Linked DNA regions of Mus musculus. The protein of the gene in region 4 binds, or shares a complex with, the protein of the main gene of each other region. Links are inferred from orthologs where the notes say so. Each region holds a gene or a part of one and is shown on either strand. Other genes may lie near its edges. A codon is read from its position in the direction of its gene.

Region 1 (3,704 bases), on a different chromosome or scaffold from region 4:
AGGGTGCTTATGGGAAACTGAGGGCTGTCACAGGGGACTCCCTTAAGGAGGGGACACCTGGCAAGAAGACAGGATGGGAGCAGGATGGTCCTTGGAAGAGGTGCTGGGCAACCAGGAGATCAAGGGAAGGGAGAGGCATGAAGGAGGCGGGGGGGGGTGCGGGGGGGGGGGGCAGGATGTAGAGCCGGGTGTGTGGTAAGAAGGGAGGGCTGGGTCTGTGATGGGGCAGCTGAAAGGGCCTGGGTGAGCAGGTTGCCAGTGTGGTTTTTCCTGGAATGGAAAAGCAAGGGGAGGAAGAGGTTCTTGGGACAGCTGGGGCATGGGTCAGTGGGTGAGAAGCTCAGCTGTGGCAATACAGATGTGACCGATAATGAGAAAAGCCACAAGAGGGAGACAACTGGGAGTCAGGAGGACTACCTATAATCCCACCTCAGCTGTAAAACCAGCTTAAGGCTAGCCTGGGCTACATGAGATCCCATCTCATATATTAATTAATTAACTAACTAATTGATTAAATGTTTCAAACTCATAGAGGCCATACAAAACATAGAATAAAGCTGGATGTGGTGGCTCATGTCTTTAATCCTAGCACTCAGGAGATGGAGGCAGGCCCATCTCTGTGAGTTCTAGGCCAGCCTGGTTCACATAGTGAGTTCCAGGACAGCTAGGGCTATGTAAAGAGATCCTGTCTCAAAATAAATAAATACATAAATAATAAATGCCAAGGCATGGAGCCTGTAAAAATTCAGTGAGGTTAGTGTCATCATATAGAAAGTGTGAATAGCAGAACACAGGTAGGCTGGGTCTGTGATATGTGACAACCAGTGGTCACATATCCACTGGGAAGAAGAGAGGGCCTAGCAGAGCTAAACTCCAGTGTTTTCCATCATATACTGTTTATTTGGATCTCATGAGACAGTCTCCCTGGGTAAGCCAGGCTGGGTTCTAAAACTCAATTCTGGCCCCTGAACCTCCCACATGCTGGGATATAGGTTTGCGCCACCACACCCAGGTCTTCTTTCACATTTTTAATTTGACCAGGAAATTCAAAACCATTCCCATGCTTGCATGATACTTCTGGTGTTGATCTGTACATATTTTCTAGCCAACACATACACTCATGCACACACATTCATTAAGCTGAAAGAACGCATTATAAGACAGGACACCTCTGGCCAGTGATGTGACTCAGCAGGTAAAGGTGTTTGCTGCCAAGTATGATGACCTGGGTTCGATTCCATGAGGACCTTCATGGTTGCAATGAGAGAACCAATTTCAACAGGTTGTCCTCTGACCTCCACACATATACCATGACATTTGCCCAGCACCACCCCCTCACCCCCCACAAAATAAATAAATACGTGCTTTTAAAAAGTTAAACAACACATTTCTGTACCTTTTTAAAAAAAAAAAATTTATCAAGTAAGCCATGCATAGTTGTTTTTACAAAGCTTGGATATGTTGGGTTCCATTAAATACCATTCCTGAAAACACAAAATTGTAGAAATAAAGGATAGGTCGGACACAACAGCACAGGTCTACAGTCACGACACTTGGGAGATGGTCACAGGAGGATCTGGAGTTCAAGGCCAGACTACCCTACATGAGACCTTGTCTCAAAAAAAAAAAAAATCAAACATAGAAAAGAAATAAAGGGTGGGTGGATACTGGTTGCCTGGGGTTTGGGGCTGTAGCTTGCTTATGTGATATATCCATAAGCCCTGGGTTCCATTGAGACCTGGGTTCAGACCAGAACCATAAAAAAAAAAAGGGAGGAGGAGGAGAAGAAGGAGGAGGAGGGAAAAAGAAGAGGAAGAGAGGAAGAAGAAGGCCAGGAAATTCTCTTGTTCTCTGTTATCCAACCCCTGGAGGTCATCATTAGGTGTATCTGCCTAGCCACTGCAGGTGGGCAACGTAGCCAAGAAAAAAAAAAAAAGCCTTAGAAAAAAAGCCGAGTACTATCTTAATGTGATGCTTTTCATCAAAGGAATTTATATTTATAATCTCAGCCTTCATGAGGATCCTGGGCTCAAGGCTAGTCAGAGCAACTTAGAGAATTGCAGAAAATTAAACATGCAAAGAGAAGGAAGGAAGGAAGGAGGAGAGGCAGGAGGAGGAAGAAGAGGAGGGGGTAGGAGGGCTGGAAAAGGAGCAGCTAGGCCAGTTGTGGCTTCTCCTCTACACCGCCTGACTCTTCCGGGTTGAGGTGTCCGTCGTGGACGGAGTGAAAGTCTTGCTATCCCTGCCCACTGAATCCTCAGAGAGAGCGTTTCGTATGATGCTGGGGAGAGACCTTAGGAGTCGTCCATGGAAACCCTGGCCAGCCATGACGTAGATGATAGGGTTAACACAGCAGTTGATGTAGGCCAGGGACACGCACAGGGAGTTCAGCTTCTCCACCCTCTTCAAGGTGGGCGAGGACGGGGGCAGCCACGCTATCATCACCCCGGTCACCTGATAGGGCAGCCAGAAGATAAAGAAACAGATGACCACAGCCATCACCACTTTGAGCGTCTTGGTGGAGCGCGTGGCCTTGCGACTCCAGGTCCGGAGCAGGAGGAAGGTGTAGCAGATGTTTAGAGTGAGCAGAGGCAACACAAAACCCACCATCAGCCGCAGGATGGCCACAGCCTTCTCTTTGGGGAAGCTACCCCCACCATAGTTAATACCACATACAGTGTGCTCTGAGTAGAAGTCCTTATATGCCTCCCGGTACACGAAGGATGGAATGGTGAGGAGCAATGCTAAGACCCAGGCCACTCCACAGGCCATCCATGCCAGGCCAGTCCCGCGGACCTTCTGACACCAGATGGGCTTGAACACCAGCAGGAAACGGTCGGCACTAATGGTAGCCAGCAGCAGGATACTGGCGTACATGTTGAGCAGGATGAGCGAGGGCAGGACTATACAGGCGGTGGCATCAAAGTACCAGTAGTTATGATTTAAAACGGTCGTGAACAGGACAGGCAGTGCCAAGCACGAGAGGAGGTCGGCCACCGCCAGATTCAGAAACCAGATGGCGTTGACGGCCCGTCTGGCCTCGAAGGCTGTCACCCACACCACCAGGGCATTCCCAGGTACTCCCACCAGGAACACCACCGAGTAGATGATAAGGGCTGCAACATCCCCAGGTTGCCGCTTCGGGAGGTGAATGCCATCCGCAGGTATGTTAGGATCCATGGTTCCATAGTGATCATAGTTGATTTCAAAGCTGCTGTTATCTATGGGGTCCTAAGCAAATCAAACAGGTAGATTGTGTGAGTTGGTAGACACATTCCCAGGGGATGGAGGCATTGCCCGTCTTTCTGAGTCTCAACTCTACCAAGGGATGCTGAACACCTATAAAACTAGTATAGTTTGTAGATTTTATTTTGAGACAGGTTCTCTGTTAAATTACCCAGACTGGTCTTAAACTCACTCTGAAGCCCAGGATAAACTGAAATCATGGTGGTCCATCTACTTCAGCTGCCCAATGCTGAGACTACAGGCATGGCTCTCCAGACCTGGGCTTTAATCAAGTATATGGATTGGGGTAGGGAGGTGATGAGAAAAAATCTCGGGGCTGGTGAGATGGCTCAGTGGGTAAGAGCAACCGACTGCTCTTCCGAAGGTCAGGAGTTTAAATCCCAGCAACCACATGGTGGCTCACAACCATCCGTAACGAGATCTGACTCCCTCTTCTGGAGTGTCTGAAGACAGCTACA
Region 2 (3,226 bases), on a different chromosome or scaffold from region 4:
TACTTGAACTCTGATCACACAGAGGACTTGGGGGAGAACTGAAACCCAACAGCATGTCAGATCTGTGTATAAGCAGATATCTATAACACCACATAATTTCTTTTTTTGTTGTTGTTTTTGTTTGTTTGGTTGGTTGGTTGGTTTTTTGAGACAGGGTTTCTCTGTGTATCCCTGGCTGTCCTGGAACTCACTCTGTAGACCAGGCTGGCCTCAAACTCAGAAATCCACCTGCCTCTGCCTCCCGAGTGCTGGGATTAAAGGTGTGTGCCACCACCGCCTGGCTAAATTTTTTTTTCTTTTGAATCAAGATCTCAGTATGTAATCTAAGGCCATTCTCAAACTCCTAAAAGCTAGGGCTTGCAGGCATTCACTACTATGTGCCTGGGCCAGGCTCTTTTCAGGCAGTGAAATCTCAAAGAGCAGGATTTCAGGACTGATGTGACCCAGAAGGCACCAGGCAGAGGAGAAGCCCGGCTCCTTGTGGACTACCCTGCAAAAGCCTTTCAAACCCAGCTCAACCCTTTCGTGCCTTCAGCCACCCACCCCGTCCTGTATCCCCATCCCACAGAATCACCAGAGCTGTGATACCACAGGCCCTCCATACTCCCCTGGACCCTCATATCATCCATACTGTCCTGGGAAATATTGGGATATTATTTTTGAGTTTTATTTTCAGGTTTTTTTACAAGAATATAACATGCTCAAACAGAAAAACAGTGATCACATACACTGCTGATAAAGGAACCCAGCTCCCTTTGTTAACAATAAATAAATATTAACACAGTGGGGAGTCCCGTGTCCCGTTCCCCCCCCCCCCCAGCCCTCAGTGATTCCCAAGGCTTGCAGAGGTAGAGTCTGGTAGGGAGGAGGCGTGATCAGGCAGCAGCTCCAGCTGAGGCTCTTCAGTACAGGCAAACAAACCACAATAAATAACAATAGCAGCGAGACAATCGGCACAACACAACAGAACACAATATTATACTTAAAAGAGTTCTCTCCCGGAGAAACCTCAAGTGCAGAGGGAAACAACCTAGGTCTCCGTCTCGGTGGCTGGTGCTGGAAGTCCCAACTTGGAAAGTTTGTTCGGTAAGACTCAGAAGTGATAGGCAGGCAAGTTGGTTTCCCCCGGCCCCATCCTTCCAGGCAGCCCTCCCCGCACATCTGCAATACTCCCTTGGCTGAGCTAACTTCTGTTCCAGAGCTTTCTTGGTCCTTGACGGGCTTCTCCCCTAACTACAGTGGGCATCTCATGTCAACAGGAAAGAAGCACAAGGCTCCCCTTCCACCAGGGTGAGGGGTAGGAGACACTTTTCCCCATTTTCATACCCACAAAGAGAACTGGTTTGACTTCAGCTAGTCTTTTGGGCTCCTAGATGGATTTTTCAATGACTTCTCTCCCTTAGCTCACCTGCTGGACATGAGTGCTGGCCCCTGTGCCGGAAGTCTCCTTCCTCCCACCTCCCTCCTTAGACCCCATCTTCCAAGGAGCGCAGGGCCCAGTAAGACTTCTCAGTTAGCCCTGTTCACAAGCAGACCCTGCTGCAAAGGTGAAGGCAGGGGGCCACCTACAAGACGGCCATGGAGAGCACCCAGCTTAGGGTCCCATGAGCAGAATGGCTTCTTTTGCAGGATTCATCATTGACCCGGAAAGGGGCTCACAGGCCGGTTTTTTGAGGTATAGAAATCTCATCTGGGCCAAGAATCAGACAGACTCATTGACCTCTGTGAGACGGCAAGAATGAGCACAGGAATATTAAGAAGCCTCAGCTCGGGGGCCCTGGGTGTCCCTGGGAAGGCAAGGGGCAGGAAATGAAGGTTCCACACACACAGCCTTTTCTAGGCCCAGTCCAGGAGTGAGGAAATCAAGACGGGGACCAAAGCCGACTGTCTGGCCCTTAAATAACTGCTCTCTGGCTCCTGTTCTCATGGTTCCCAACCACCCAGCATCCCTTTGTGTGTGCCCTGGTAAAAAGTATAAGTTCTGGGCCACCCTTCCCCCCAGAGCACCCGGCGCAGCCTTGTCGTCAGCCCTCAGTCACAGGTCCTGGAAATGAGGAGTCTCTCCTACACTGGCCCACCACAGTATCTGGAGGAGAGGGGGTTCTTCGCACTCAAGCTGCGGGGATGGATGTCCGTCTGTCCTTCCACTATCCTCTTGCACTTGCTGCACAGGATCTGCCTCCCACACAGGGCAGCTGCTTTAGGGACGGGCGACTCCACCTCTCTTCCCGATGGCTTCTAGGTTGCTGCGGAGGCTCAAGTGTGTGAAGGCTCAGCTGGGCTGCCGCTGGGTGCAGAGGTGGAAGTGGCCGAGGCTTGGGCAGCCAGGTCGCGATAAGCTGGTGACTTGAGGAAGCGCGGATAGGAGTCCTTCTCCATCAATGTGCGGGTCTTCCCCTGAGCCACATCGAAGCAACTGGTAGTGGCAGCTTGTAGGTTTGTCTTGGTCAGTTCTCGGGTCTCGTGATCTATGTTCACCTGTGGGGGAAGCAGGGCAAACCACAAAGGTGAGTGGTGTGGAGTGGGGTGGCCGGGCAGGGCAGGGCGGAGGGGGGGGGAGTTTGGTGAGCAAGTGATGTCACTGAAAGAGTACCAGACAGTAAATAAAGTGACTCCTTTCATATACATATATACATATGCATGTATATATGTGTATATGAGTATATGTGATCTGTATGTATATGTGCCTGCATAAGTGTGTGCACCGCATGTACATAGGAGCCTCTAGAGGCCTGAAGGATCCCCAGAAATGGAGTTAAAGGAGGTTGTGAGCTGCCATGCTGGTGATAAAATATAGGAGTTCTGGATGTATAGTGTGGGGTGACCTATGTCCTCTACAGCAAGTGCTCTTAACCACTGAGCCATCTCTTCAGCCCCACTCACCAGCTTTTCGGGTCTAGGACAGTTCCCACTTCAGACCCAGGGGTTGGTCCTCTGATCTCTCAAGACTAACATGAGGCCTTTTATGAATGCTACTCCTCTGCTGGTTCCAGTCACCACCTCTGCGCTGGACCTGTGTAGTAATTCGGCTCCTGCCTCCCCTCACTCCCACTGTCTGTCTGTCCTCACAGCTGCTAAATCGAGCCCAATCCGTCTGGAAATACCCTAGCTTCCTGTCCATGTCATTCAAAGGAAAAGCTAGAATGGCTGCATCTGGCCACCAGCCATGTGTATGACCTCACCTGTCCCCGTTCCCTGTGGCAGGATGTCCTTCCCTCTCTCGATC
Region 3 (3,001 bases), on a different chromosome or scaffold from region 4:
GCACATGTGTGGGCTCTTGCTGCACTCATCAGCGTGACTGATATGCCCCAGGTCATAAGAACACCTTCCAGAGCTCTCAGTCTCCCATCATCCCAGGAAGTGGCTACAGTTGGGATTCTAAGTCACTTTAGAAATACAGTCAAGCACAAGGGAAGAGAAAATGGTCAGAATGGCAGTTTACAGAGGCGTCTTTCAGGAGCAGGAGCAGTTTGAATGGATGTTTAGCAAATTTGGGGTTCACAAGTACACACTGTCACATTAGATGCCGCTTTCTGGGCAAGACCCAGCCTTATGGGTGTATGAACACGTGCCTTCTAGATAAGCCATGCCTCGGGGCCACAGTGTTGGCTTTCCATCTACAAAGTCTCTGAGCAGAAGAGAACAAGGAACTCTTAGAGCATAGGATATCTCTCTCACATGCAGGTCTGACCAAGCGCCTCTGTGGACAGTGTGAATGAAGGACATATGCCAACATCCACAAGGACAGCTTTAGGTTCCCCTAATCACGTGAGGTACCTTTTTCAAGATAAAGTATTTCTGCTCCAATATTGAATAAAGTGCAAACAAACAAACAAAAATCCATGCAAAGGGCTTATAATTCTCTTTAAAATACCCAATAACACCAACAGACACATCCCGCCCTAGCAGCCACTGAGAACTCTTCATTCCCCGTGATTCCAACAGTCCCCCCTTTTCCATCCAGAGACTATTGCAAATGTAAACACTATTTACAGGGGAATAGTCACGAAAATAAATGAGCTAGAAAAGTTAACGAGCCAGAAGTCTACATTACATTTTTTAACCTAAATTAGGTGCTGATTTGGCACAGATATACACCCTTTTTGATTTTTTTAAAGTGTCTTGCTTTGTTTCCCTCCTCCTAAAATATTATCAAAGTCTTAAACCTAAACATTATTCTTCTAAGACAGGACAATTTAGTAATTTCACAGCATTTTCCTATGGCAAGTATAAGTAAATATGAAATTTGTTGTGAAAGTTACATTTGTAAGTCACATGGTGATGGTTTTAATTCTAAATTAACATTGCTCCATGGAATAATATTTGGGGAAAACAATCCTTAGACATTTGTTGGTACAAATCTGCATGAGGCAGCATGTCTCTGTGTGTCTCTATTCTCCCACAGGATACTTTTGTCTTCGTTCATTCTGAATCAAACGTCTCTCCTCTTTGGAGACGCAGCTAACGCATTTGCCAAAAGCATCCTTAAAGCTACACACAGGTTTGCAGCAGTCCTCGGCAGACTTCCATGGAGTTTCTTAGTTCACCCTAAACTCCCAGCTCACAGGATTGTTTCGTAGTAGAGTCAACGCTGATCTCCCAGGATGTACTTGATGGGTCTCACATCCCCAGACAGACCTCTGGACACCCACGACTCAGATGAGGTGCCGGTCCACAAAGGTTCAATAAAATAAAAATCACTATTCTGTGCCCACAGTTGTATTTCAAAGCACAGACTAGACTATTACCTCTCCTCTCAAATTTTTTTTTAAAAAGAACTTTTTCCCTATATTAACTGGCCTGAAAATGTGGATTTCAAATATTATTCTCTGCTTTACAGAACTTACTTTACACCATGGAGATCAAAACATTTGCAGAGTGCTGTAGGACTTTCATTCCTTGAGAGCTAGAAACTATACAGAAGTTTCTTTTGTCTCATATATACAATTATAGAGTAAAATGAAATTGGAAAATGATCTTCAGTAGACCCACGAGTTCCCTGAACAATCAACGTCCTTTTACCACTGTGGAATGTAGTTGGATCGATAGGAATTGCTGTGGAGAATAAGCTGCCATGTTACTTGATAATTCGCTCCGCCCTCCTCTCTCTAACACACATGGGAGCTGGAAGTCGGGAGGCTCCCGCAAACCTTCACACGTGGGTGCAGTTGGTGGATGGCGGGGTGTCCATCCGGCTCTTGTTTTCCTTAGTTTCACTGCGTGGAGATTCATCGCAAACATGACACTTGAACACTTGCTTGTACGCCTTCCGGAAGTTTTCTGAGAGAAAGGCATATATGATGGGGTTCACTGAGGAGTTGCTGTATGCCAGGCAATGGGCGGTGATTCTGAAGAAGAAGGAAGCTGGCGTCAGTGGGAAGGCTCCAAACTCAGCCCAGAGGTGGACGACATGATGGGGCAGCCAGGATATGCCAAATACTACAACGACCACCAGGACGGTCTGTGCAGTCTGGAAGAGAGAGTAATGGAAGAGGGTTGGAGAGGGGACAGGAGCTGCAGGAATACACCAGTTATATCAGGAGAATACAGCGCTGTAAAATACACCTCTGTAGCATTTATTTATTTAAAAAAACTTTTATTTATTTATTTAAAAAACTTTCTTTTTAAAAATTTACTTATTATTATATGTCAGTTCACTGTAACAGTCTTCAGACACACCAGAAAAAGGCATTATGAATGGTTGTGAGCCACCATGTGGTTCCTGGGATCTGAACTCACGACCTTCGGAAGAGCAGTCTATGCTCTTAACCGCTGAGCCATCTCTCCAGCCCTCACAGGTACTTTCATGAGATCACACAAAAGTGTTAAATTTGACCTCACACAACATCTCAAGACCCAGCAGAGACCTAACACAGTCCTGATTCCTAGGCACGTGTAAAACGCATGCAGACTGTGGTAAGTGTGAGATGGGAAACAGATCAAGACTAAGGACTGTTGCCTAAGCTAGAGAGAATTCTGCCAGCAGCCAAGAGACGAGGCAGGAGGAGCCAGAGCTCTGGACCAGTGTGACCTTTACACAAGACCTCCCAACTCAAGAAAACCCAACCAGCATAGCAAGCCTCTTCCAGTGCGCACACACCAAGTTCCATCAGGAGCCCAGAGCTCAGGCAAACCCGGGTGCACCCAAGTGGGAGAGGTTGGTTTCTCATTACTGAAGACAAGGTGGAGACTCTGGGGAGCTAACCTTCTCACAGCCATTCCCAGAGCATCATGGAGACCAACAAGGCCTATGGCTAGCTTA
Region 4 (4,739 bases):
ACTTTCAGAGTCACAGAAATGCCCAACTGTTACGAAAAAAGAAAGTGTTTTCCACTGGCCCCTTGCCTGTCTTTATCCTGGGCAGTCTTGCCTGTTGGCTCCTCCATCTAGGAAGGCCCCTGGGGCTGACTGGTGGAACTGATTGTAAAACTATTTTGTGCAGTAAGAATTAATGTCTTCAGGCTCTGAGACCACCCAGAACATGACCGATCTTTGGCAACTGTCTACTGTTTTCCCCAGTGCTGGGTTCGCTGTTTGCTGAATAACTGACCCTGGTTTCTGACTATCTGAGAAGATATGAAGGGTGTATTTCTTCTAGTAGTTTGTTATTTTAAGATGAAAGGAAGAAAAAAAATCTCTTATCACAAACCTATGAAGAATTCATTTTTACCGGATTATGTTCTGGGGATACAAGAATTCAAGAACCAAGGGAGGCCATCGATTCATCATATAGAGAAAAATTTAAGGGAACAAGTATTTGCTAGAGGCTTTCATGAAAGACTGTCCCTGGGCCTTTGGCATCAAGCCATCCTAGGATGGTAACCATCTCTAGCGACAGAGGTTGTGGGCATCTCGCGGTAAGGCTCACATTGGCTAAGGGAGGCAAAAACTCCTGCGGAGCAGGCCTTGCCTCTTCTCTGCCTGCTACTTTCCTCTCTACTAGCCCAGTCTCTAGACACTAGATGCTCAATAAATGCGGACCCAAATCCGTCACTGAGCCCCAGCGCGTTATTATGGAGTGAGCGGGTTTATCCTGACCCACTACCTCCTCACATCTGCGGAGGCACCATAGCTCGACTAGGGGCTACACCTCCAGCCGCGAAGGAGAACAATCGGTAAGGCGATCTGCCGGAGACACGACCCAGAGCCCGAGGGACCAGGAAGCTGGAGGCTCAGGCCCAGGGCTGGGGACCACCTGACCGCCGCGCTGGGGTTGACAGGAGGCGGGCCGGGCGCGCGAGACCCGCCGGGGTGGGGCGGGGTGGGGCGCAGGCGCGCGCCCGGCCCCAGGCCCCGCCCTCCCCAGCCCGGCACGCTCCGGGAGCCGCGGGGGGAGGGGGACCCGAGAGTGGGCGGCGCCGCGCGCGCGCGCCCGCTTGTCTGACGCGTCCCGCGGGCATGCGCGCCGCCCCCGCCCGCGCCGTCCCCGGGGCCCCCGGCGCGCGGCCCTGCTGACGTCAGCGGGCGGCTGGCGGAGCGCTGCGCAGGACCAGGCGCACTCGAGAGCTGCGCTCGCCTCGCCCCCCCCCTCCCCGCCCGCCCCGGCGCGCGCGCGCGTGCCCTGCCCTCCCTGCCCGCCTCTTCTCGCGCTCCCCGCTGGCCGCGGCTCCCTCGCGCTCTCCCCGTCTCCTGTCCGCTCCGCCGAGCGATGCGAGTTCTGGGCCCCGGCGACGCCGCCTCCCGCTAGAGAGAGCTGCACCCCCCACCCCCGGCCCGGCCCTCTGCCCAGCCCTGCCCCGCGCGCGGGGGTCGGAGAAGGCGCCGCGGACGCATCGACGGCCGAGGAGCGGCGATGCACATGCACTAGCGGCACCCCCTAACTCACTCCCTCCACACCCCGCGCCACCGCCGCCTCCACCTTCTCCGCCTCCGCCTCCTCCTCCTCCGCCTCCGGCAGCCGCGGCAGAAGGACCCACCCTGCCCCCCACCCCACCCTCCGCCGGCTCCGGCTGCGGATCCAGCCTCGACTCCTATTTTATTTATTTTGGGTCGTGCACTAGCCTCGGTGCCTGCAACCCGCGCCTCCCGGGCCCGCGGGCGCCTCCTCTCTCGGCTCCGGAGCCCCAGACCCCGGCTACCCTCACCTCGACACCCCCAGACCCCAGCCAGCCGCCGCTAATCTTCGCCGCTGGAATCTTAATAGAGGCTGTCCTTTTGGGGGGATTCTGGTCTTTCGACAATTTTGTTCCCAGCCAAGGAGAGGATATCGTGATTTTCTCCCCTTTGAGCCCAGGCTCTGCTCTGTGGGGGGGTGGGGGGCGCGCCGACCCGGGGAGTCGTGCCAGCCTAGTCGTGCGGGCTGTGGCAGGGAAGGGGCCACCATGGGATGTACGCTGAGCGCAGAGGAGAGAGCCGCCCTCGAGCGGAGCAAGGCGATTGAGAAAAACCTCAAAGAAGATGGCATCAGCGCCGCCAAAGACGTGAAATTACTCCTGCTGGGTAAGGACCTGGGTAGCCACCCCCGCCCCTCGACCCCCGCCACAGTTCCCAACCCGACTTGCGCCCTGGGAAATCTGGTCCCTGAGTTGGCAACACCTTGTGCCCAGGAGCGCCCACCCTGTGCATGCCTTGAAGCCCCCTTCCCATTTCCATGAGCTGACACTCACCAGTTTCCCCCCCTCTGTGTGTCCCAACAGGGGCTGGAGAATCAGGAAAAAGCACCATTGTGAAGCAGATGAAGTAAGTCCCTGTGTCATTGGGATTTGTACTTTTATTAAGAATAATTTATATCGTTTTTATTATCTTGCTCACCCATATTTGCTCTCCAGGCCTGGTTTTTAATTCGCGCACACACAGAAGAAACCCGAGGTTGCCTCCCCTCCCCCACTCCCTACGTTGGTTCTGGGTCCCCCACCCCAACTCCTGGGGTCGGTGTTTGCGGGGAGGGAATGAGAGCGCCTCTAGTTGTATGAATGACAGTGTCCGCCATATTGATCAGAACATCACACTATTGGCGTGCTTATGATCATAACTCTTGCTCGTGGAGTATTTCGTGTTTCACTGCCTCCATTTCTGTCTCTGCCTCATCTTCTTTCCCCTCCTCCTCCACCCCACCCCTCGAATCCCACTTCCCCCTGCTTCTCTTGAGGCAGTGATTTTGAACTTGACTAAAACATGGAGGGGACCCAGCCCTAGCAGATTGGGGTGGAGGATCAAGTGTTTGCTGTTCACGAGTTTGGTGCTGAATTCCTGGTGGCTGTGGCTTAGACGACCCCCCCCCCCAAAGCGAGCAAGGGTTAGGGGAGGGGGCGTGCACTGGGGAGAAAGGATGGGTTTCCAAGCGGATGTGACAGACACAGCCTTATCCAAGGCAGAGGTGGGAGGGTCTGTGGGGCTAAAAGCCAGTTTCATCTGCCCTCCAGCCCCTCTCCTCCCTGGCCCTCCAGCCTTTGCTCTTCTGACACCCGCAGGTTCCAGTCACTGTGTAGCCTTTATCGTTGTATTTACACTCTGTATTCTACCTTCAATGCGGATTTCAGGCCCTACTTGCCACCGCCCCCTTTCTGCCTTAGATATCAGTTTCCCCTCCTAATTAACTGGGGGTGGATTTGAGTGATGGTTGAAAATTAAAACAAAATGGGATATTCCTTCCTTTCCACATTTCCCCACTTAGGAGCCTCGCCCGTCCTTCCTCCTCTCTGGCTTGCTTCTTGCCCCATCCACTCCACGGTTCCCGGTGAGCCTCCAGGCAGCTCTGCCTGGGGAGGGGTGGCCGGCAGGGAACGGGTGCGTGCCTTCCGGGCCTCCTGGCCCTGTTTCCGTTGGCCTGTCAGTTCGGGACGGAGGAGTTCGTTAGGACCGTTTAGCGAGGATTCCATGTCGCTTTGCTGTGACACCTTCGTGCACACACAGCTCCTAATTAGAGGTTGCTGTGCTGTAAACAAAAATGATTATTTTTCAACTTGACAGAATAGCCGAAGTAATTGCATCCCGTAGGAAAACAATGGAAAATAAAAGCCCCTTTCGAGGGAAGGTGGGTGGGAGACAAATCGTGCTTGTGGTTTCAAAACCAAGAAGCAAAAATTCTTGCATGTGTAACAGGCATGACAAGCGAGTTCCAGGCGGCGCCATGATGGTAGGGAGCAGCGACTAGGAGACAGTTTCTCCCATCTGCTTGGCATGTTCTTATTTGCGTTCGAGAGCTCCCGGGGGCTTTCTTCTCACAGGCCCCTTCGGCTAGCCTCACCCTTCTGAGCCACCAGTAATTTGGCCTGGGGTTTCTCTGGGGCTTGTGCAGTCCAAATGGATGGGGAGGCGGGGCCTGGGGAATTGCTCTTTGCAACAAGGTGCATGTTGCATCTGCCTGGAGCCCTCGCGTGTCGGGAAATGCAAACCGCGCCACCTCTTTCTCCTTAGGGGCAGGTTTCGAAACTTCACAAGTCTGTAATCCACTGTGGCAGGCCGGGAGTCCGGTAGAAGCCTCGGCCTCCTGAGCCAGGGTGAGGTTTCAGGCGTTGTAAGTGGTGGACAGCGCCCAGCCGAGGCTGGAAAAGTCGATGGGGCTGAGCTTGGCTCGGCGGTGTTCGGCTCCGCTCGGCCTGACCTGGGAGCGGGGCTCGGAGGATCTCGACAGTGTTCGGAGCACAGTCGGGGTCCAAGCGGAGAGGGCCGAGCGGCTTCGGCGGCTTCGGAAAGGCCCCGAAGACATTCGGAAACCCTCGGCAGGAGGAGGGCAAAGGAGGTGGAATTGGGGGTGTGGGAGGGGATGGCAAAGAAACTTTGCATCCACCAAAGCAGCTTGCTACCTGCTCTTCCTGAACATGCCTCATAAATTAGGTTGATTTAATAAGAGGTTTAAAAATACGTATCGAGTCCCCAAAAGGGCAACTTGCCTTTTTTATTCAAAGAAAGCTTAGCTCTCTGAGGAGATCCGTGTGCCACTTTAGAATGGAAATTCCTGATTAAGTCCTGGGGCACGAAATCTTAAAGGAAGACTGAGGAGACATTCTGAGGAAAGTCCTGTGCGTCTGACTTATATTGGGTTGCACTGAGGAAGATGGGGTGAAGTGTCCGATGTT
Region 5 (4,110 bases), on a different chromosome or scaffold from region 4:
TGTGTGTGCGTTTGTACATGCATGTTCCTGTAGGTGTACATACATATATGGACATATGCCTGTGTATGTGTGCATGTGTGTGTGTGTGTATGTGTGTGTATGTGCATGTGTGTGTGTGTATGTGTGTGTGTGTGCATGTGTGTGTGTGTATATGTGTGTGTTCCTTTGTCATGGAAACCTGAGTCTTTCACATGCTAAGAAGGCACTCTAGCACTGATGTTTCTCTGCCTCCATTTACACCCCTCCCACACACATTTTGTAAAGATCGATTTTAGAAAAATGTTTAGAACTATAAACTCCACATTTTTTCCTGTGTTGGGCTCTACACAGCTTTAATATTGATATCTCCCCCCAGAGATACAGTCCTTGTCCATACGTAATGTGCAAACTTTTGTATTAATCAAGGACCCAACTTGATATCTGAATACCAGGCTTACTCTGACAGGTCACTGGTGTTTGCACATGGTTTCAGCCAAAGGGGGTATTTTTTAGATAAAGGATGGTTATTCATTTGTAACAGAGTCTGCATAGAGTGCCACTGATTTGAATCTTAAGTAATTTTACTCTTTGATTCTGAAGAGTAATTATGCTCAAAATACACTGAATGACCTTGTGATGATTTTTTTATAACACTATTGTTGACAATTTGCTATCATTGATAGTGAGAATTTACTACTTTCACTACTTTATTCATCCCACATCTTCCCACTCATACATAGCTCTGACACACATTGATACATTCTTTTCTGTTAACTATTATGAAAGGTTAAGAGAGGTGATCAATTTACATCTGCTTTGCAGATTTAAATATTAATAGCACATGTTTCATCCGTAGCCTTTATAGACTATCACTCAGGGGCATAATATCACTTCAATCCTTGCTACAACTCTAAAAGAAAAAAAGAGAGAGTTTGAGATAAAGGAAAGTACATTTCATAGAATTTTAGCCACAAACCCAGAACTACGTAGCTAATGCATGGTGTGAGATAGACTCTCAAAGTAGTTTTAATTTGCATTTCTCTGGCTAAGGATGTTCAACACTTTCTTTCCAGATATTTAGTATCCATTTGTATTTCTTCCATGTGAACTATTGATTAGGAGATTTAGGGCCTTGAGTGTTCACATTATGTGTATGTGTGTGTGTGTGTGTGTGTGTGTGTGCGTGTGTGTGAGCTACTAGTCTGTCTAATGCATAGTTGTGGGCCTCAAGTTCTAAAACCCAGTTGAAGCCAGTGCCTCCCCCCTAACTCCACCCTTCCAATCTAGTACATACTTCTTCATAGTACATACTCAAACTTGATGAAGAAAACATAGAACGGTGTATGTTCCTCTCTGCTATGTATACAAAGAAACTAGGTGAAGACAAGTTGTTCTCATGCTTCCAAAATACTCCCAGGACCTTGATTTAAACTAAAGTGTACAATACTACATAACACATTTATCATACGAACATGAGTGCTTTGAAGTTCATCTCCATTGTGAGCATCTTCTTCATTTGTGATCTAATCGTATTTGCTTTAGTGACCCCAGAAAATTGGAGAAAAGAAGTGATGAGAAAGTGGTGGAAGCCAGCTACTATCTCATAAAAGAACAACAGCCCCCACATAATCAGCACATCCTGTTGGAAAAGAGGATGTCCCTGCTTCAAATACTTGTCCTAGCTTCTAAATGGCATGTTTCCCATTGTCACACCAGTACTGTCACAGACTAGCAGGGTATCTCTAAAAATTCCTGAGTTGCAATCGTCACTATAGTTCACATCTCATAGAGTTTTCAGTGTTCAGTCCGGATAAGGATCCCAGATTCAGTAAACTATCTGCCTTGACTGGCAACCTCTCTATATAGGACGTCATTGTGGTGCTCCTCAGGAATCTCTCATTAAGTGCAGCCCCACAAAACAAAAGGGAGGCCAAGGAAGATTATCTTAAAACAAAACAAAACAAAACAAAATAAAACAATAGAAAGGCCTTTGGTAAAGTGCTGATTTTAGCTATAAATTATTACTCACTGTCCTAGCAATAAGTTCCTTAAACTCTTATTATCTCAGCTTTCTTCTTTCTGCAAGGGTAGTGATATAATATATTACAAAGACTTTCTATAGCCCTTAATACTTACTGAGAAAATGTGTATCCAAGAGACCTAAGGCTGCATATTCTTTTATGATTTTTTATTGAAAAATAACTCATAGTATTTGTAAAGAAAAGGAAAGAAAAGAATTGTAGCCTGCCTATCCACTGACTTAAAAGTGATTCTAGATTACTTTCTGCAACTTTTTGGTCTATAGCTTCCTTTTCAGCACAATGAAAGATCTGTCAAAGAATAGTAAAACAATAGATTTAATAATGGCTTGAAACAAAGAAAACATTTAGAAAATTGTTTTCATATAATCATATCAGTCTTACCAATAGTAAATGATAGTTCTTTTATAAGGTATGGAATTTTAGAAATTGTACTGTCAAGAGAAGATGGACTACAATTGTAAAACAAAATTGAGAAAAACAAATTTACTTTGGTTGGGTGCATTGGTTAGTACTTTGTCTTTCTTATCGTTACCTTCATTAATTTTAATAAGGAAAAGGCTCAGTCTGCCATAAAGGTGTTACTGACTATAAAACTCACACATTCAATTTTGTCTTCTGTTTTCATATTTTATTTCTCCCGGATTTATTATTTCTTTCAAATCCAGAAGTTTATAGTTGTTTTTAAAAATTTTAACTATGTACTTGGTTTAGTCATTTCAACTCATAAAGATATGGTGATATAAGCAAGCAGGCAGATACACAGACACTCGTGTCTGTATATGGAGACACTCATTGTGTAATTGAATCATGAATTCATCATCAGCCATTAAGCCATTTCAATCTTCCATCTATAGTCTTTGCCTCTTGGGTGGTCAGATCTGTTACAGTATATATTCAGGACACAGAAAAGGGACTGGGAAGTTTTCCAAAAGGAAGAAAATTTATGTGTTTCAACACAATATTTATATTACATTTGTTAACTTCATTCTATTTCCCTGCAGGTTTAAATGTTTCTTTGGCCACTTGACTACTGAACACAAAATGAATAACTCAACTAACTCCTCGAACAATGGTTTGGCTATTACCAGTCCTTACAAGACATTTGAAGTGGTATTTATTGTCCTTGTGGCTGGATCCCTCAGTCTGGTGACCATCATTGGGAACATTCTAGTCATGGTTTCCATTAAAGTCAACCGCCACCTTCAGACTGTCAACAATTACTTCTTGTTCAGCCTGGCCTGTGCTGACCTCATCATAGGTGTTTTCTCCATGAACTTGTATACCCTCTACACTGTGATTGGCTACTGGCCTTTGGGACCTGTAGTGTGCGACCTTTGGCTAGCCTTGGACTATGTTGTCAGCAATGCCTCCGTTATGAATCTTCTCATCATCAGCTTTGATAGATACTTCTGTGTCACAAAACCTCTAACCTACCCAGTTAAGCGGACCACAAAAATGGCAGGCATGATGATTGCAGCTGCGTGGGTTCTTTCCTTCATCCTCTGGGCCCCAGCCATTCTCTTCTGGCAGTTCATCGTAGGGGTAAGGACTGTGGAAGACGGGGAGTGCTACATTCAGTTCTTTTCCAACGCTGCCGTCACCTTTGGCACTGCCATTGCGGCTTTCTATCTGCCTGTCATCATCATGACTGTGCTCTATTGGCACATATCCCGGGCGAGCAAGAGCAGAATAAAGAAAGAAAAGAAGGAACCAGTGGCCAACCAAGACCCGGTGTCTCCGAGTCTAGTGCAAGGAAGAATTGTAAAGCCAAACAACAACAACATGCCTGGTGGTGATGGTGGCCTGGAGCACAACAAGATCCAGAATGGCAAGGCTCCGCGGGACGGTGGGACTGAAAACTGCGTTCAGGGGGAGGAGAAAGAAAGCTCCAACGACTCCACGTCTGTCAGTGCCGTGGCCTCCAACATGAGAGATGATGAGATAACCCAGGATGAAAACACGGTTTCCACTTCCCTGGGCCACTCCAAAGATGACAACTCTAGGCAGACATGCATCAAAATTGTCACCAAGACCCAAAAGGGTGACGCATGCACACCAACAAGTACCACAGTAGAACTAGTGGGATCGT
Region 6 (4,585 bases), on a different chromosome or scaffold from region 4:
ACTTAAGGAAGATTCAATGTAAGGAATACCAAGTTTTCATCCAATTTTTTTTCCAACTTTGGGCGCTTATTGCTCTGAACAGTCATTCTTTTTAGTTTGTTTGTTTGAGGCAGGGTTTCTCTGTGTAGCCCTGACTTTCCTGAAATTCCCTCTGTAGACCAGGCTGGCCTCAAACTCTTGCCTCTGCCGCCTGAGAGAGGGGCTTAAAGGTGTGTGTCACCAAGCCCATCTTGAACAATCATTCTTAATTCTCTCCTTCATGGTTTGGGGTTATTTCGTCTTCTGCTCTTATTATTCTGCTAAAATTGCATCTAGAACCCAAAGCCAGACGGACTTCTCTATCTTCTACAGTGAAGTTCTCTGCAGTCTGCCCTCCTGGTCGGTGAGATCCTTCCCTAGTTCTGAGCACTCGGACAAATGCATCCTTTCTGCCCACGTCTCATCCCTTCAGATCAATGCTGCTTTATATTCCTAAGCAGGGCTAATGGTTTCCACTTAGAAATACGCCCCTAGAATGGCTTCTTCCATGCCCTACACTAAAATTCTACCCATTAAAATACTTACTCCTCAAGGTTAACCTCAATGCACTATATCTAAAACAGTCTCTTATAATCCTCGAAGAAACTGATTCTTTGGTCTCTCACTTGTACATGTGTGTGCTGACTCATGTACATGAATGTAGAAGTGTGTGGTTGATTTTTTTCTGACATGTCCTATGAGGAGGCACATGTAATCTTAGGTTGTAATTTTTATAGTGGCCCTAAACTGTGTGATGGTAAAGACAAGACCTGTTTACAAATGCCTCTTCCATATCATTTAGCATATGGATCAAGGGTCACTTTTTTTTTCTTTTGTTTTTTTCTGAGATGAAGTTAGATTATATAGACCAGGCTGGCCTCAAACTGGAGATCTTCTGCCTCAGTCTACCAAATGTTGGGATTACAACGCATGTACCCCCACGGCCAGGGGGATGCTTACCTTTCGGGTTTAATTTTTTCATTTTCAATTACATTAAAAATATTAGTCTTTAGCCATTTTATTTTTTTCCCATATGGCTTCTTAATTCCTATGCTGTCTCTTCTAAATTTCTCTCTTGATTTTAAATTCCCAAACATTACTGGATGTAGTAACAGTTTATATCTTTAAAAATGATTAATTTTCATTTTATGTGTGTTGCTGTTTTGCTTGCATGCGTGTCTGTGGGATGGTGTCAGATTTCCTGGAACTGGAGTTACAGACAGTTGTGAGCTGCCATGTAGGTGCTGGGACTTGAACCCTGGTAGAGCAGGGTTCTGGAAGCGCAGCCACTGCTCCCAACCACCGATCATCTCTTCAGCCTCCTCCATTTTTATTTATTTGATTTGATTTGATTTTTTGGTTTGCTTGTTTTTAAATGGAAGCTGGGACATTTGGAAGCGATTCTGCTGAACTTGACAAAAGTTTGTGACAAGTCTTATGCGGTAAGCAGAAGTTAGGATAACAACAGAATAAGAAGAAAAGGAGAAACGATACCCACTCTGGTCTCTGTCTTTTTCAAGTCCTACCATTCCCTTATGTGAACGGCAAGAACTCGGATCTAGTGTCCCATTCCAACCTCAATGCGTACCATCCTAAGATGCTGAGAGCAAAGCCCACCCAGAGACTGCTAGGAACAGAGCAACCCACAGACATCCCTCGCTGTGCAGCTTTTGATGCTGAGATTCTGGAGATGACGTGGCTTTCACGTGACCGCAGCCGGGGAGAGCCCCAGCTACTCACCTAATAACGCCTAGGTTACTGTTCTTTTTTACTGCAGGGATCACATGACTGAGAAACTGTGGTCTCGATAATAAAGTGGACATAGCGATTTAAAATAACAGAAGTTGAAAGGAAAACATTCCAATGTAAGAGCAACTGAGTTCCGTGCTGTGAGGAATAGTTTAAATATCACAAATGATCTTCCTTGAAAGCTCACACCCTAAAAGTCATCCAGGACAAGACCACATTACATTTCCCCAAGTTCTGAGCAACCCCCCCCCAAAACCAAACCAAACAAAAACCCTCTATGTTTAAGTTTTTTATAAAGATTTCAGGATTGAGTTGGCCAGAGTAATTAAAAAAAAACCTGAAACTAAAATGTATTTATGATGAGTAAAAATTAGATTTAAATATCAAATAATAATTATGGAATGATAGAACCAGCTATTTTGATAAGGAATAGCTCAAAGAACGGGAGAGTTACAGAGAGCAACAGAAGAAGAATCCACATATGGGCATATATATATGTGTGTGTGTGTGTGTGTGTGTGTGTGTATATATACATAAAAATAAATGTGTGTACATGTGATCAATGATTACAGAAGCAAAACTAAGGGAAGAAAACATGATCTATAATCTAGGGGAATAAATAACATAAATTCATTATTATTTTCAGAATGAAAATATTAAAAGCCAAGATAAATAGAATGTATAGTATTTACATAAAAATAAAAGTAGACATGGAGATAAGACAGGAGAAATAAAAATTTGGGAAAGTTGGGAGGCAGAGACAGGCGGATTTCTGAGTTCAAGGCCAGCCTGGTCTACAAAGTGAGTTCCAGGATAGTCAGGGCTACACAGAGAAACCCTGTCTCGAAAAACAAAAACAAAACAAAACAAAACAAAACAAAACAAAACAAAACAAAACAAAACAAAACAAAAGTTAGGGAAAGAACCAGATATGATTGTGTACAACTTTAATCGCAGGAGAAGGAGATATAGCTCTGTGAGTTTAAGGCTAGCCCAGTCTATGTAGTGAGTTCCCAACCATCCAAGGCTCTATGTAAGACTCTCAAAAAAAAAAAAAAAAAGTTTTAGGGAAAAGAATAGAAGGAAACAGAAGATAAGGAACTTGAAGCCATTGTACATAATCAGCAGGCTAAACCAAGCATGAACTATAAGGCTCATCTATGTTTTCTTACCAAGCACACTGAGATGGAATCCAAAGGCTCCAGGACTGATGATCTGCGAGCCACCAACAAATCCTGTCTGGTCCAGCCAAAATGAAGTAGTGAAGTGCATTGGACGAGTTGCTGAGCACTGACTTTTCCCTGGGTAAAGGGAACTCAGGATCATGACTGCTATCTGACTGCACAGGAAGGGCCTTTCCATGAGTCACCTCTTAAACTTAGCCGGCGTAGATAAGAAAAGCAGAAGGACAGAGGAGGGCGGGTGGAGGAGGCCGATCAGGACACAGATATTTCCTGCAGGAACCTGTCACCTTAGCTACGAGATGCTGAGATGCAGGCAGGCAGAAATTTGAGGCTTGTCTGTGCTACAGAGTGAGGTTTTATTTTTTTCCCTTTAAATTTGCTTTATTTTATCTTTATATCAGTATGTGTGTGCCATATATGGTTGCTCACAGAGGCCAAGAAAGGATGCTAGATTTCTTGGAACTGGAACCTAATGTGGGTGCTGGGATCTGTTTTTAACCTCCGAGCCATCTCTCCAGTCCCATAGAATGGGGTATTTAAAAGATCTATTGATTTTCTTTTATGTGTAGGAGTTCTTCCCCCCCCCCCCATTTGTGTGTACATATATTTGTGCCTGCTACCTATGGAGGCCAGAAAAGGGCATGGGGGGGGGGGTCCCTGGAATTGAAGTTATAGATTTGCCAGTCACTCATTTGGTGCTGGGAACTCAACTATTAAGCCATTTTTCCAGCCTCTACAGAGTGATTTTAAGACCAACTTGAGAAAGTTAGCAAGACCTTATCTCAAGACAAAAAAGTAATAAAAGATCTAGGGATATAGATTGTGGGTGAGCACTTGTCTGCTATGTCCTAGGTCTTGTGGTTAATCCCCAGGTCAGGAAAAAACTGTGTGTGTGTGTGTGTGACGACGGGAGATGGCTATGATCAAGTTAGGTTGAATGCATATGTACTTGTTAAAGAACAAATAACACATTTAAGAACAACAACAAAAAGATGGCTGAGTTGGGAGGTGTAGCATAAATTTTTTGCAACCTACTTTTAATTATAAGGTTCATTCTCTTCTCTAACCTACCACCCAGCAGAGAGAGTGGAAGAAAAGTTATTAGAATATGGTGGAAGTGGGCCTGTTCAGCAATAGTTCTTTGGGGGGGGGTGGGCGCAATCCCCGTCTTCTTTCTCAGCAGTTCAGTCCCATAGCAAACACCAAATACAACTCAGCAGTTGTAGACCAGTCCTATAGGCAGGCAGATGCCACACATGAGCTAGCAGCTTCAATCCAGTCCTCTCCACCAGCAGACACCGGGCATGAATGCCAACTGGTCTGAGGCAAGGCTGCTAAAGTGGCAAGCAGCTGCAGGAACCGAAGTCCTTGGGTGAGTTTCTCTCAATGGCTGCATTACCACGAGTTGAGCTCAACCACGCTATATAAGGTGAATGAAGAATGGGGAGACAGAGCAAACCAAACCAAGGCTCAGTGCTCATGCCCCACTGTCTGTGGAGTCATATTTACATTCTTTCCTCAAGTGTCCTTTCACGTGTCTGCTATATCAAAACTTCCTTTCACCGTCGTCTGCTTCAGGAAAACATTTTCTCACATGTTTAGTTTAGCAAGACATCCTTTCACCTGTGCACCCC
Region 7 (4,583 bases), on a different chromosome or scaffold from region 4:
CTGCCACCGGACAGGTACTCCCAACTCAGGATGGCAGGCCCATACAGCAGGAAGGCCAGCACCCACACCAGTGCCATCTTCCGAACAGCCCGTCTTGTGTCCCCCTGCTGGGCCCGGTAGGAGACCTGCAGTGGTTTGTACAGATCAACAACAGGTCAGCAGCATTGGACTGGAGGATCAGAGAAGCCTCAGCTTCCGTGTCTGCTCTGGGTAAGGTGCCATGTTCCTTCTCTCCCCTGCTTGTGTCCCCTGCCTGCCTGATGCCCACACATTCTCCCAGAGCCTCAGAGCCTACCACAACCAACCAGAATCCTGTCTCTTCATCATCCTCCACCAGCTCCATGGGGTCCCCCTGACTTTGCTTGTGTCATTAGCACTGGCCACACCCAGAGGCCACACACAACTGTTTCTGATGTGAGGCTTCTTGCAAGGGCCAGAGAGCTGTCTTCAACGGTTTGCTGTGCTGAAAGGGAAGGGCTTTGTCCCAACTCTGCACCAGTATTTCCTTCCTCTCACTACTGGAGCTGGGAATACAGAAGGGAAACCTGCTGGCCCACTGCTAGAGACTCCTCCCACCCCACCCCACCCCACAAAAATTAAATAGTCTGTCTTCTTTTCTAGAAGGTGAATGGCTAGAAAAGGTAGGAAGGTGGGACCATCTAGTCTTTTTCCAAGAAACAAAGTAAGCTCCAAGTGCGCTGAGTAAGCAAGGGGAAGGGTGGCAGGAGGGGCCAAAAATCCTGCTAAGGGGCCTCAGAGGGACAGCTGAGACAAGTGTCCTTGACAGCCACCTTGGGAACCACACAAGCTAACCACAGGTCTAGGGTACACATGCCACATGCCAGCACTGTACTGGGCACCTTAGTCACAATAGCCCTGTGGTTCAGGGGATGGTACAGGGGACCTAGGGAAGCTCAAGAGGGCTCCATGCTGGTGCTCTTTGCAAGCATCCTCAGGATGCATCCTGACAAAACCTGAAGGGAGTGAGCCACTGAGAAGAGGAGTTGGGGAAGTGGGAGATGGACCCCCACTCCACACCAGTGTCCTCCTCTCCCTCTGCCTGGGTCCCAGAGCTATCTTACAACAGCCATTTAGGGGAGCGTGTGCAGTTAGGGACTGCGGCTTCCTGGTGTTATGTGAGCACGCCTTCATGCACACAAAAGTGGGAAGGATGAAGACCCTCCTTCAGTTCCAGGAATCCTGTACCTGTCCAGGATAGAGGATGGACCCTGACACCCCTTTCTGCAATAGTATGGAATTCCAAGCCAACCTCCTGCCTCATGCTAGTACTACTACTGGCAGCCAACGGTCACAGAAAAATGGCCCACCGGTCAAAAGGGAGCAAGACCATCTGCCTATAACTCAGGAGCAGCCATACCCTGTCCAGTGCTCTCCGACACACAGGGTAAACTCTAATGCCCACATCCCAGAACTCACAGCTCGAGTGACTGACAGGAATCGGTCATAGCTGATCAGCACGATGTTGAAGACTGAGGAGGCACACAGTAGGTAGTCTACCACCAGCCACAGCTTGCAGAGGCCCCGGCCAAAGGTCCAACGGCCGGTCAGCACATAGGGTACATACAATGGGATGCAGAAGGCACCTATAGGAAAGCAGCTGTGGTGGGACCATGGCTCAAGAGCTGGGGTCAGACTGACCACATAGAGAAAGGGCAGAGCCTGGCCTTCATAGGGTAGCCACCTTTCTAGGGCTAGTACTATATCTTATTTATCCTCCTAGTCACCCTGTCCCCCTACAACTGAGCAGCTGCCATCCTCCAGCCCATCAATGTCTTCTGGACCTGGTGGCAGGAGGAAGGACCTCCACATAGGGACCTCTGAACACAAAACCTGGGCTTCTGCCAGCCCCACCAACCGCCAAAAGAGGAAAATGGGATATATGTCCTCCCTGGCTTGATTGGCTCTGGAGCCGATCATCCATCTCTACCCTGGCTGTTGGACAGCCTCCCTTCTCAGCTTAAAAACCGAGAAAGCTTTTCTCTTGGCTTAAAGGGTTCTTGGCTGCAGCCGCGCCAGCCGCTCTCACCGCCCAAACCGGCTTCCAGCGTCTGGGAGACGCAGCAGCTCGCAGCCCCAACAGGTGTCTGGCGCTCCGGCCCCCACCGCGAGCCCCGCCCCCCCTCCCCCAGTTGGGAGCAGAGCTTGGACACGTGAGAACGAGCTCCTCGGAGCATTTCCCTCATCTCACCCCCCGCCTTCCCTACGGTCCCCTTCCCCAGCACACCTCCCCAAATCCCCCTTCCATGTCCCCTCCCCCCCAGCGTCCTCCCAGCATCCTGAGTCCGGCGCCGCTGCCTTTGTTTGGTTCGGCGCAGGAGCCAACGCTGCACCGGCGGTCGCTGCGCCTTGCGCCTTGCTGAGCGCCCGCCGGCTGGGGCAGCCTCCCCGGGGACATCCCTACCTAGCCCCCGTCTTGCGGCCCGGGAGGCGAGGAACTTCTCCCGCGCCCACCATCCTAAGGTTTCTAGAGCTCCTCTCCCAAGGCCGAACCCCTGAGAAGCCACCCCAGGTCGAAGCGCCAAGCCCCATTGCCCAGCCCGGGCTCCGCGCCCCTGGACTCTGGCAGCGGACAGGGTCTGGGGGCTTTACCCACGAGGAAGTCGGAGATGGCGAGGTTGAGCAGAAAGAAGTTGTTCTGGGTGCGGAGGCTCGAATCCGCCACGAAGGCGAGCATGACCAGCGCGTTGCCCAGCACTGTGGCCACGATGAGCAGCGCCATGAGCGCAGCCAGGACAGCGGTCCAGGCAGCCGAGAAGCCGCGCGCCCCGCCTGCAGCCGCCGCCTCTCCGGCCAGAGCGCCCGACGCGTTCATCAGCCCGTCGGGCGGCGCGCGCTCCATGGCCCAGCAGGCTCACAGGGCTCGGGGACACTGGGCAGGGCAGGGGCCGAGTGCTGGGTGGCCGGGCGGGGCCCCTGCTCTTGAGCCTAATCTTTGCCGGCTCTTCACCCAGCCCGGTTTTCCGGGGGGCGCCCGGAGCATGGTCCGCGGGACCGGAGCGAGAGCCGAGTCTGGAGTCCGGGAGGGTGATGCAGAGGGGGCTGGTATCGGAATCTGAGCAGAGTGGGGCGGGCTGCGCGGCTGCTGCAGCGAGAGCAAAGCCGAGCTCCAGCCGCCCGCGGCGCGTCGGTGCACCCCTAGCTCAGCGCGCAGCCAAGTGCGCCCCGCGATCGGCCCGCCGCCCCCCGCGCCCCGCGCAGAGCCCCCGCCATTGGCTGGCGCCCTCGCCCCGCCTCCGTCCCGCCTCCGCCCCGCCCGGCGCGGGCAGCACCACGGACAGCGCCGCGTGCCCGCCGGCCGACTAGAACCCCTGCCCCGGTGCGCACCGTGGCTGGCGGAGAGCCCGACTCGGGCAATAACCAGCTACAGGGCTGGGACCATGTCTGAGGTCGCACCTAGAAGCTGGTCCCTTGGCTATCCGTTCGCCCTCGTGCCCTCGCCCCTGGTGACCCCTGCCCGACCCTTGTCCGTAGCTCCTAAGCTTGTCAGGACCTAGGACACTGCCCGGGTGGGGTGGAGAATGGCTGCCCCGCAGCTCTAGGGAACTTGCGCCTCAGGACTCCCTTTCGCATCTTGCTTTGGGCAAGTAGGTTTCTGGGGTAAGAGATGTCCAAAGAAAGATTGGGGAGGGGTCCCTGAAAGTGATGCCGGGAACAGGGGTTCTCTCCAGCCTCATATGCACAGAACTGTGGGGTCTCAATCTCCACGTGGTTAGACAGAGCTCAGAACAGGGTCCAGGGTGACCTGCAAGGCACACACAGATGTGGAGTTACATAAGGGAAGAACGAGCCTGAGCGGACCCAGCCCAGAGCTGAGAACATTCACCCAGAACTCAGCGGCAGTGGGTGGAGGGGCGACCCACAAAGCAGCTTGGTTCGGGCCACGAATGCCCCCTGAGATACCTTAGTGGGGTGGTCACTGCTGCAGGGGACAGGTGAGGTCACTGAGTTCTGGGTGCAGCCGGGGTGGTGGCAGCTGCGTTAGTGCCTGTGGGAGGGGGAGGAGGAAAGCCGCCGGCCCCCCTTCTCTGACACAGATACTGGAGGTCAAGGACAGAGTCAGCAGCAGAGGCTCCCTGAAGACAGACAGACACACCCACGCTCTGACACACAGACATTCACATTCAGGGAAACAGCCACCCAGCATCAGGCTGGGACCCACGAATAGTCAGACAGCAGACAGACAGAGAACAGTGCCCGAGGGAGAGGGGAAGCAGTGACTGTCCTCTGTCACCAACAGCACACATCAGTGGATGCCTCAAAGTGGACAGAAATGTAGACGGTATGAGTGTGGGGGAGGGGGACCCCAGGCACCGCTTCAAGCACCCCACACTGACAGCCAGAGGCTGGTCATGTGAGGACCTGCCCCTCCCCCACCCCAAGTGGTTCTCTGAGAACTTTGGGCAGTGGGGACTGGCATTTCTCTGTTCCAGCCTTGGGGATGCTGGCAAAGAGGAGCCTCTACCCCAAGCCCATAGTCTCAGCCCCCCAAAGGCACCCTGGAAGCTTCTATGGGGGAGGGGTAAATTCCAATGTATCGTCTCCAGAAAGCCTTCTCTGATCTG

What was found.
Region 1: the proteins of Gnao1 (region 4) and C5ar1 are in contact, whole or in part, in a cryo-EM structure (PDB 8JZP), measured with the Homo sapiens proteins. The link is inferred for Mus musculus from reciprocal best matches to the Homo sapiens genes GNAO1 and C5AR1. Residues at the interface, in NP_066268.1 of Homo sapiens: Ala31, Lys32, Lys193, Asn194, Leu195, Glu318, Tyr320, Phe336, Thr340, Asp341, Ile343, Ile344, Ala345, Asn347, Leu348, Arg349, Gly350, Cys351, Gly352, Leu353, Tyr354; in NP_001727.2 of Homo sapiens: Asn71, Phe75, Arg134, Leu137, Val138, Pro141, Ile142, Gln145, Ile225, Thr229, Arg233, Ala234, Thr235, Arg236, Ser237, Lys239, Thr240, Val243, Val244, Ala303, Gln305, Phe307.
Region 2: the proteins of Gnao1 (region 4) and Rgs16 are in contact, whole or in part, in a crystal structure (PDB 3C7K), measured with the Mus musculus proteins. Residues at the interface, in NP_034438.1 of Mus musculus: Glu64, Asp65, Gln68, Ser75, Arg86, Thr117, Val180, Lys181, Thr182, Thr183, Gly184, Ile185, Val186, Gln205, Arg206, Ser207, Glu208, Lys210, Lys211, His214, His236, Glu237, Asp238, Glu239; in NP_035397.2 of Mus musculus: Glu85, Phe86, Ser87, Glu89, Asn90, Glu124, Ala125, Pro126, Glu128, Val129 (codon at 2,478), Asn130 (codon at 2,475), Asp132 (codon at 2,469), His133 (codon at 2,466), Glu134 (codon at 2,463), Leu161 (codon at 2,382), Lys164 (codon at 2,373), Asp165 (codon at 2,370), Ser166 (codon at 2,367), Arg169 (codon at 2,358), Lys172 (codon at 2,349).
Region 3: the proteins of Gnao1 (region 4) and Galr1 are in contact, whole or in part, in a cryo-EM structure (PDB 7XJJ), measured with the Homo sapiens proteins. The link is inferred for Mus musculus from reciprocal best matches to the Homo sapiens genes GNAO1 and GALR1. Residues at the interface, in NP_066268.1 of Homo sapiens: Ser264, Asn316, Glu318, Tyr320, Asp337, Asp341, Ile343, Ile344, Ala345, Asn347, Leu348, Arg349, Gly350, Cys351, Gly352, Leu353, Tyr354; in NP_001471.2 of Homo sapiens: Thr70, Arg133, Ala136, Ile137, Ser140, Arg141, His226, Leu227, Leu231, Asn233, Ser235, Lys236, Lys237, Ser238, Ala240, Ser241, Lys244, Thr245, Thr248, Leu306, Ser307, Glu308, Asn309.
Region 5: the proteins of Gnao1 (region 4) and Chrm2 are in contact, whole or in part, in a cryo-EM structure (PDB 7T8X), measured with the Homo sapiens proteins. The link is inferred for Mus musculus from reciprocal best matches to the Homo sapiens genes GNAO1 and CHRM2. Residues at the interface, in NP_066268.1 of Homo sapiens: Lys24, Ile28, Ala31, Lys32, Leu195, Tyr320, Asp337, Ala338, Thr340, Asp341, Ile343, Ala345, Asn347, Leu348, Gly350, Cys351, Gly352, Leu353, Tyr354; in NP_000730.1 of Homo sapiens: Asn58, Arg121, Cys124, Val125, Pro128, Leu129, Thr130, Pro132, Val133, Lys134, Thr136, Ile209, Ser213, Lys214, Ser215, Arg216, Ile217, Arg381, Lys384, Val385, Thr388, Ile389, Cys443.
Region 6: the proteins of Gnao1 (region 4) and C3ar1 are in contact, whole or in part, in a cryo-EM structure (PDB 8I95), measured with the Homo sapiens proteins. The link is inferred for Mus musculus from reciprocal best matches to the Homo sapiens genes GNAO1 and C3AR1. Residues at the interface, in NP_066268.1 of Homo sapiens: Ile28, Ala31, Lys32, Asp33, Val34, Asn194, Leu195, Ser264, Asn316, Glu318, Tyr320, Asp341, Ile342, Ile343, Ile344, Ala345, Asn347, Leu348, Arg349, Gly350, Cys351, Gly352, Leu353, Tyr354; in NP_001313404.1 of Homo sapiens: Asn57, Asp119, Arg120, Val123, Val124, Pro127, Ile128, Gln131, Asn132, Arg134, Asn135, Tyr356, Ile359, Arg362, Gly366, Arg367, Phe368, Ser371, Lys374, Thr375, Val378, Leu438.
Region 7: the proteins of Gnao1 (region 4) and Hrh3 are in contact, whole or in part, in a cryo-EM structure (PDB 8YN7), measured with the Homo sapiens proteins. The link is inferred for Mus musculus from reciprocal best matches to the Homo sapiens genes GNAO1 and HRH3. Residues at the interface, in NP_066268.1 of Homo sapiens: Ile28, Ala31, Lys32, Asp33, Val34, Lys193, Asn194, Leu195, Asn312, Pro315, Asn316, Lys317, Glu318, Ile319, Tyr320, Phe336, Thr340, Asp341, Ile343, Ile344, Ala345, Asn347, Leu348, Arg349, Gly350, Cys351, Gly352, Leu353, Tyr354; in NP_009163.2 of Homo sapiens: Asn69, Asp131, Arg132, Ser135, Val136, Ala139, Val140, Tyr142, Arg143, Ala144, Gly147, Ile221, Ile225, Arg228, Arg232, Thr345, Phe348, Arg349, Arg352, Val356, Leu360, Cys415, His416, His417.

The regions. Positions count from the first base shown.
Region 1 is NC_000073.6:16,245,860-16,249,563, forward strand, and holds the end of C5ar1 (C5a anaphylatoxin chemotactic receptor 1), read right to left. Parts: intron 3,232-3,704; coding exon 2,179-3,231; 3' UTR 886-2,178; downstream 1-885.
Region 2 is NC_000067.6:153,742,886-153,746,111, reverse strand, and holds the end of Rgs16 (regulator of G-protein signaling 16), read right to left. Parts: intron 2,479-3,226; coding exon 2,257-2,478; 3' UTR 644-2,256; downstream 1-643. UniProt on the Homo sapiens protein: Regulates G protein-coupled receptor signaling cascades. Inhibits signal transduction by increasing the GTPase activity of G protein alpha subunits, thereby driving them into their inactive GDP-bound form.
Region 3 is NC_000084.6:82,391,802-82,394,802, forward strand, and holds the end of Galr1 (galanin receptor type 1), read right to left. Parts: intron 2,210-3,001; coding exon 1,892-2,209; 3' UTR 695-1,891; downstream 1-694. UniProt on the Homo sapiens protein: Receptor for the hormone galanin. The activity of this receptor is mediated by G proteins that inhibit adenylate cyclase activity.
Region 4 is NC_000074.6:93,809,294-93,814,032, forward strand, and holds the start of Gnao1 (guanine nucleotide-binding protein G(o) subunit alpha), read left to right. Parts: upstream 1-1,544; 5' UTR 1,545-2,042; coding exon 2,043-2,160; intron 2,161-2,357; coding exon 2,358-2,400; exon of another isoform or gene 2,401-4,262; intron 4,263-4,739. UniProt on the Homo sapiens protein: Guanine nucleotide-binding proteins (G proteins) function as transducers downstream of G protein-coupled receptors (GPCRs) in numerous signaling cascades.
Region 5 is NC_000072.6:36,520,148-36,524,257, forward strand, and holds part of Chrm2 (muscarinic acetylcholine receptor M2), read left to right. Parts: intron 1-3,022; 5' UTR 3,023-3,062; coding exon 3,063-4,110. UniProt on the Homo sapiens protein: The muscarinic acetylcholine receptor mediates various cellular responses, including inhibition of adenylate cyclase, breakdown of phosphoinositides and modulation of potassium channels through the action of G proteins.
Region 6 is NC_000072.6:122,853,045-122,857,629, forward strand, and holds the start of C3ar1 (C3a anaphylatoxin chemotactic receptor), read right to left. Parts: upstream 3,114-4,585; 5' UTR 2,940-3,113; intron 1-2,939.
Region 7 is NC_000068.7:180,101,292-180,105,874, forward strand, and holds the start of Hrh3 (histamine H3 receptor), read right to left. Parts: upstream 3,117-4,583; 5' UTR 2,861-3,116; coding exon 2,611-2,860; exon of another isoform or gene 2,423-2,610; intron 1,605-2,422; coding exon 1,438-1,604; intron 126-1,437; coding exon 1-125. UniProt on the Homo sapiens protein: The H3 subclass of histamine receptors could mediate the histamine signals in CNS and peripheral nervous system. Signals through the inhibition of adenylate cyclase and displays high constitutive activity (spontaneous activity in the absence of agonist).